Coturnix japonica: one gene and its partner. The protein of the gene in region 1 purifies or fractionates together with the protein of each later gene. This does not show direct contact. Links are inferred from orthologs where the notes say so. Each region holds a gene or a part of one and is shown on either strand. Other genes may lie near its edges. The genes, in order: BLNK and SYK.

What was found.
Region 2: the proteins of BLNK (region 1) and SYK purify together in Homo sapiens (affinity purification with western blotting; 3 studies listed by BioGRID and IntAct, with this or other methods). This does not show direct contact. The link is inferred for Coturnix japonica from reciprocal best matches to the Homo sapiens genes BLNK and SYK.

What each region holds. Positions count from the first base shown.
Region 1 is NC_029521.1:18,330,980-18,334,801, reverse strand, and holds part of BLNK (B-cell linker protein), read left to right. Parts: intron 1-829; coding exon 830-857; intron 858-1,160; coding exon 1,161-1,233; intron 1,234-1,592; coding exon 1,593-1,623; intron 1,624-3,041; coding exon 3,042-3,084; intron 3,085-3,822. UniProt on the Homo sapiens protein: Functions as a central linker protein, downstream of the B-cell receptor (BCR), bridging the SYK kinase to a multitude of signaling pathways and regulating biological outcomes of B-cell function and development.
Region 2 is NC_029547.1:39,247,248-39,251,136, forward strand, and holds the start of SYK (tyrosine-protein kinase SYK), read left to right. Parts: upstream 1-938; 5' UTR 939-1,232; intron 1,233-1,275; exon of another isoform or gene 1,276-2,319; intron 2,320-3,889. UniProt on the Homo sapiens protein: Non-receptor tyrosine kinase which mediates signal transduction downstream of a variety of transmembrane receptors including classical immunoreceptors like the B-cell receptor (BCR).

The DNA of each region.
Region 1 (3,822 bases):
ACACCTGTATTGGTCTAAGAAAAAATTTCAAACGGCTTCAAGTACAAATACCATCCTGTACTTAAAAAAAAAAGGTGTGGGGGATGGGGGGGGGGGAGAAAAATTGCTTAAACTACAAGAACTTGACTTTCAGTAGCAATGAGTTATTTTGCCCAGTTTGGAGTACCTTCGAGTGCCTTCACTGACTGGGTAGTGTGAGTAAACGCTATCACTTGAAAATGCTGTCCCCAGAGGAATTGCGTTTAAGAGGACTGGGAGGATCACACCATTCCAACCAGGGAATGGATGTGTTTGTAACCAACATTAGTGAAAAGCCATTAACCTGGTGGGTGAAAATGGAAAAAAGAGTAGCTGGTGCCTCTTTAAATTGTACTTTTCAGAGCAAAGTCTCCCCTAAAGGACAGTATCTGGGTGCCAAAAGAAAGCATCTACAGAAGAAACTACAAAACAAATTGGATTGCTTCTGTTCTAGGAAGGTGGAAAGTCAGTCTGCTCACTACTGTTAGTTCAGTGCAAAATGTCTGCTGCAGAATTTGAGCTTTCAATTTCAGAAATGAAATATGAACTAATAGATCTCACTACAAAATTCAGGGTCAATTTTATCCATACTCTATGAAAGCCTAAGTTTATTATAATGTTCAAAATTAATTGGCTGGCTAATTTTTTTCAAATCCCCTAACAGAAGCTATGAAAAATATCCTGGATACTGTATGCTCTCTATACAAATATATAATTAAAAACTAGTACAGACTGCAACCACAGATAACTTATGCACTTCCCACTTAATTAAATTGCTTCTTGTCAAATCTAACATACTTTTCCATTACAGGACCATGAAGCAAACAATAATGATGCAAGTAAGTATTCTGTACTGTAAACATGGTGGTATGAGCAGAATTTGTTGTCAGTATGTCACTGGTGACCTTAACGTACCATGCAGTGGAATGTGTCAGTGTAAATGTTATCTGTATTAGCCAGCAACAAGCAAGAAATGCTCCTGAACTGTTTTCTAATACAATCAGAGTGAAAACATGTCAAGAAAATCAAACCACTGGCTTTTTTTTTAACCTCTGATATGTTAACATTGAAATACAGTGAGGAAAACCCATTAATCAGGCGAAGCTAATATTGCATGCTAAATATTTCATATCTGTTTCTAGATCATAGCTTCAATAATACACAAGAATCTAAATTTCCTACTGGAGCAGCTCCATCTCCATTACCAAGGGCCCTGTGAGTAAAAATAATAGGCAAGCTACTTCTTTGAGGGTGGGGCAAATTAATACTGGCTGTACTGGGAGCCAACTCCTAACCTGGTCTGTGGCAATCAATTCAGGAATAATGTTTTTTTCTGCAGTTAATGAACAATACTGTGACTTTAGGGGAAGACAAGCTATTCTTCCATTATTTCTGGAGGAATGCTGTTTGTAAACCAGTGACATTGCCTTTCACTGTGTGCTGCTGACGGCAAATGCTGGCTGGATTGCTTAATCTACCCAAGTACAGCAGCAATAGCATGCACGTGCTTGGTTGCTAAATGAATTCCATGTATCAGCCAAGTAACCATGTTCCTTTCTTCCTACAATTTACAGAAAGAAAACTTCTAATGCAGTAAATCCAGCAGTAAGTTGATCTATAATTGTATAATTAAGCAATAACTTTGTGTGAATCCAGCAGTAAGTTGATCTATAATTGTATAATTAAGCAATAACTTTGTGTGATCAAACTTGATCATGAATTTGGCTACAACGTAAAGGCACAGAAAAAGCAGAAGAGAGACTAGAAGAATAAGCGTGGATGCATTTACATGAAATAAGTAGCAGGGAGAAAGCTCAAGTAGAAAAATGTTTAGATTAAATGAATGTTTGGATCTGATACCCTACAATCATAGAATCATTAAGGTTGGAAAAAAGAAATAAGGTCATCCAGCCCAACCACAAGTCCATGTGTGTGACCAGTCTACACCAGGTCACTCAGAGTGATGTCTATCCTTTTCTTGAACACCTCCAGAGACGGTAACTCCACCACCTCCCTGGGCAGCCTGTGCCAGTGCATTACTACTCTCCTTCTGAGAAGAAACACTTGCTTATATCCAGCCTGAACCTCCACTGATGAAGCTCAAGTCCATTACCTCTCATCCTAACCACTGTTATCTGGGAGCAGAGACCAACCCCCAGTTTGCTACAGCATTTTAGGAAGCTGTAGAAAGTGATAAGTCTCCCCTGAATGTAACAATATGCACATACTGCAAGGACTGAATTAAAATGAGAAATAAGAAGGAAATCCCTGAAATAAATAGGGCCTACATACAAAGAACATACATTTATTTTCAGAATGATAGTTCAAGAAAGATGTGGGATTTTACCAGGATTAGTCAGGTTTTTTTTTTCAATAAGCATTTCATCTTTATAAGAAATCCCAAAACTTCCAGTAGGAAAAAGAGATAAATTGTTGAAAATTCCTATTAAATTAAATAGGAAACATATTTTGAAACTGGCTGTTTATTATCATCAATTTAAAATAGGAAGGAGGAAAAAAAAAAACCAAACTTAAGTAGAAGGCTGAGAGGGATTTTACTGGTGGCTAAACTGGCAGTCTGAGCTTCAGTACAGAAAGAAGAATGGGTTCAGACATCTGTATGTACAGATCAACAAAGATGAAAATATTCAAATTTTGATTCAAAAGTATTTGGGATGAACTCTTCATTTCTGGACTTGAGGTCAGAAGGAACTGTAAATTACTCATGGGGATGAAAACTAAAAGAAAAAGTCTTAAAGTACTCATTTCTGAATTTTTCTTCTGTCCATCCATTCATTCCCACAAACTAGGATTCTTTCCAAATCTACTTCACAAAACCCCAAGTTGCATTGCCATACAGCCAGAGGCTCTTCTCAGAATAGCTGTGCCCCTGCCTCCTGATACCCACAGGACTCCATCAGTTCTGAATGTAAACTAGTTAACAACAACTGTAAAAAGATATTTGCTGTGTAAATAATGTAATGACATGTTATTTAGTATTGTAATTCTGTGTTTAATTACAGAAACCATGCTTGCCTTCCAGAGACAACTTCACTGTAAATGAAGGTAAATTTTCTCCACTAGTTTGGAAAAGTTGACATTATCAAAGTTATTTATTTTTCTTATTAGAAACAAACAATATCACATCCAATTTATCCTTGTTATTTTAGGAGAGGCTGGTCTTAGCAGTTTAGAACTGGATCTGGCCAGCCTTAGTTGCACTGAGTATCATTGTTCTCTAAAAGCAGTCGCAATAAAACTTCTGAGGTTACTGGCAGCATAAGGCATGACATAACGCAGCAGCAGTGTGCCATATAGTCCTCAAAGCAGAGACAGGGGAAGGGAGGGGAAGCATGAGCGCATCATTTTGAGCTCAGCAAGGAGCATCTCACATAGAGATGGCTCCTGGCAAGAGCCAGTCCATCACACAGGCAGGAAATCAGTGCCAGGCGGCAGCACCTTGAGGCAAAAGCTCAGCTGGGGCTGCTGCCTGACACAGGGTAACTGCAGCCCCACTGCAGCTCCTCTGGCTGAGCAGCCAGCATTGTCCTCTGTGTCACACAGCTCGCCCCCCAGAAGGCAGGGCTCCCACAGAGTTCTGTGGGCACTCAGAGTGCAGCTATTTGCTTATAAACTTTGGTAGAGTGCCACTAGTCAGTAATGACGGTAGCAGGATGGCAAGCCTCCACGTGAGAAAATCCTCCAAAAAGATGATAACAAGTAAAGAAGCCCTCCTTCATCTACTGAGACAGTCTTACCAGGGACAACATGTTTCTAAAGAAACGCTGACTCTTATTTGTCTTT
Region 2 (3,889 bases), on another chromosome or scaffold:
GCACCATATCAGCTGCTGCGGAAAGTTAACTCTACCCTTACCAGGTCAAGTACTCTTGCTCACATATAATTAAAAGTCATGAAACATTTTTTTTTTTTTTCACCAATTTAAGAAGAAACTTCTGCTTAAAATCTTGTTCATAGCACAGTAATGACTTTCCAAAAGCCATTTCCTGTAGACTGTGCCTTTGGATGGTGTTAGGAAAGACTTATGCCATCAAAGGCCCTCCAAGAATCAAGTTTTCTTAACACACAGGTAGTGCCAATTCAGAAATGTATCTGCACTTTGGCAATCAGACCAAAAGAAAGGCCCTTTTCAACCGGTATGAAACATGAGGCTTTTGCCCTTTGGCAGCTCTGTTTAGTATAATGGATGTGGAAGGAGAGCCAGTGCTTCCTTGCAGCACCTCTTTCTTATACAATAAGCAGGCCCACTCACTGCAGCAATCACTTAATACAAGGGAGCAGGAAACAGACCTCGCCTCACGTTAGTGCTGCTCATCATGGCACACAACACCACCATGCAGTGGCCATGCCTGAAGGAGAAGCATGGCTGCAGGTGCACCTGAGGTGCCATTCAATGCCAGTGGCAGCGCATCCTGGAGAAGCTTGTTGCCGTCTGTTGCATGTGCAGACATCTGTAGTGGAATTGACTCCCTCGTACATGGAGCCTTAGGGACGGGGTCCTCTTCAGCTCTCTTCCACACCAGGTGTTGTCTCTTCCATACTAGCAGCGGCTACAAAATGAGTAAATACCATATGCAGCACAAAGATCCTATGTTGTTTCAAATACAAACCGTTTTTGCTCCTCCAGAAGCAATTTTCTCACCAAAACACAAAAGTACCAAAATACATTACATTTCAATGCTGACAATCAGCGGGTCTATTCATTTTCTCCCAAGAGACGACCACTCTTGCGTCCCTCTGCTTTCCCACGTTCACCTCACACCATCGGGCACCACAACACGCACGTCGGGGCGCCGCGGGTCGCACACCGCACACCCTCATGGACAAACGTTCTGACAGGCCGGGGGCCGGAATCGCCCGAGGGAGGGAGCAGGGGGCCGACAGTTCGTTGAGGAAGTGGCCTCGGCTGAGAGAGAAAACGAGGAAGCGGCGGCTCTCGCAACGCATAACTCGGGCACAGCTCTCGGCTGAGCCGCGCCGCTCGGCTCGCTCCCAGGAGGAGCCGGTGGGCGGCAGTAGGCGGCGAGCGGAGGAGCCGCCGTAGCGGTGAGTGGAGGCCACGCCGGGCCGGGGGGATGCTGGCAACAACGAGCGGGGTGGGCCGGGGTCTGCCAGCCGCCTTTTTTCTCCGGGGTTTACCCGGAGAGCGGCGAGTAAATGTGCCAATCTGCTGAGGCAAGCTGGAACGTTCCGTCCTTCTGTAGTAACATCGGTAGCCTGGCATTTGAGGAACTAGAATATGGAACTTAAATACAGAAAATATATAGATTTAGTCATGTTTTGAATGTGTTGCGGAGTAGTTTTTAACAGCGTAAAATTTACACTAAAGTAACTGTTCAGCTTCTGAATGGTGCATAGTATATAAAAGATTTGGCACCTGGGAAAATGGCTTTAAAAAGAGCTTCTTTCTTATAAAAAATCTGGATTTTGTTTCTGTCAGAATAATCACAGAGCATTGCTAGAAGTGCTGAATGTTGGTACTAAGGGTGCAATGGTTGACTTGCTGCTGATCATTTCAGTATTGGGCAGTATTTTCTTCTGTAGCTCTGTACTATGTGCAGTTTGTGCTGGAGTTCATTGGGTGTGGGTGTAGTAATGCCACCCTGGGAAGAGATGGATGCTGCTTTTGTTGGGTGACGCCGACCCCACCAGAGGTGATTGAGACACAATTTGGCCAGAATGCATGGAATATTACAGAGTAATTCCATTTCAAAACAAAACAATTCCATCTAAGGGAATGAACTCCTTGTAACTTCTTTTGATGTTCTTTTCAGTTGGGCTTCTTTTATATTCTTTTTATCCAAAGACATTTAGAATTCTCAATTCTTTGGGCTGAATCTGCAGCTTAATCCACAGGCACAGCTGTCTGGTTCAAGTGACTATCAGTCTTTTAAGCTCGGTGCTACTACAGGCTCAGAGGCCATGAGCTGAAGCAGAGCAGAACACGTTGAGGCAGCCCAGTTAGAGGAACTGTGTTGTTTTTTCATCCCTCTGTTGAACATTCAGTGATAGAGACAAATAAGGAAGTTTGAATGCTCTTTATTTCTGACAGTTTTCCTGTGGGGGAGAAATGTTATAGTTTGGCAAAGACTTTGAACTAAAAGGTTTGGAATCACCGAATGTGCCCCAAAATGTAAGTAATTGCTTCAGATTTCAAATGTACATGAAATAACTGCAAAACCCCATGATAAACTGTTGAAGTGTTCTTGGTTTTCTGCCTTTAGAAAGTATTAAGTCCATAAGATCAGCAGTGAACAGTGCTACTTGTCCATTTTGAAAGAAGAGCAGAATTAGATCTGAAGTTGCAGGAAGACAAAACCAGAAGTTCAATTTTAGTAGGAGCTAGCAGGTTACGCTGGAAACTAAACTGCATTTTAGAGCACTGATGGTAAAACCAGAAGCTGGATTTAAGCACCCTAATAACAAAAAATATAACATAGACATGTTACCATACACTTTTATCTTTGTGTGTGGGTGTGTGTGTATGTTATGACAGAGACATGAGGAGCAGAAGTCACTACTGAAATATATGTTGTGTTCAGAGTTCATGGGATTGCAATCAAAGTTTGTTTTTTTATAATCAGTTTTGATTCATTTTACTTTCTTTATGCTTTTTCATTACTCAATATTTAGCAAAAAACAAAAAACAAAAAAAAAAAAAACAAAAAAAAAAAACCCTAAAAACCAACCAAACAAACAAAAAAACCCTACAAAGCCCACAGTAAATTGGCTGACATTCCTAGTGAGAATACTGTGACTGTCAGCAATTGTGTTTGTGTCTGTATTTATGGCAGAAAGGTACTAGATGGTGATGTCCATTTTTCAGCTTTATGGACTCTTCGATCAGTGGTTCAATACCTGTTTTGTGCACACCAGTTACATGTTTAGCTCCAGGATAAAATGGCCGAAAAGGGGAACATGTATGATTTTGTATTGTAATTATAAGGAATTCAGTGTGTATCTTTGCATGTGAGTAACAATTACAGAAAGATCATTCCAGTCAGCTATTTAAAATTGTTTATTTTGCATTTAAAGATGAGGTGTACTTGTGTGATCTTCTGCATCGGGGTGAACATACTTGTGCCACTAAGACTGTGCACGACTTCAGTCTGAGCACAGTGTTCTCTTTAAAAGCTCAAGATAATCTTGTGAACATGAGAAATGTAGTTCAGTCATAAGAGTGAAAACTTATCACACTGCAAGCATTTGCAGGATCATCTTAACTTCTAATTTGGAGAAAATACCATTTTATTGTAGGGAAACAGTTTTGTGTTGCTTTATCTTTACATTCCAAAACCAAAATTAGTTCAGAATTTCCTGTCTCTGTGTGCACAATGACTAAGTGACCACTGCTTTAAATGAGTTTGTTGAAAGGAAAGAAAGGGAAAAATATTTTGAGACCAATTGAGCTTCAGTTTTCATCTTATAAGTTCTCGTAGGTATCTGCCACCTCTCTGTACCAGGTAACAGAACAACTTCAAATGTAGGAAATATTCTTAAATAGCCAGAATGCAGAAATGTAATAGAGTATTATTTTGTGTGGTTTCACTATCACTTGGTTTGTAACTAGCTGATGGTGGTATGTATTAATTTGAACAGAGAGGACTACCCTGCCTTTCCTCTTGCTTTGTCCCAGTTTGCTCTGGAACATTGTTCCTCAAAAGAAGTATGGAGTGCTAAGTGTCCTGAATATGTCCAGCAAC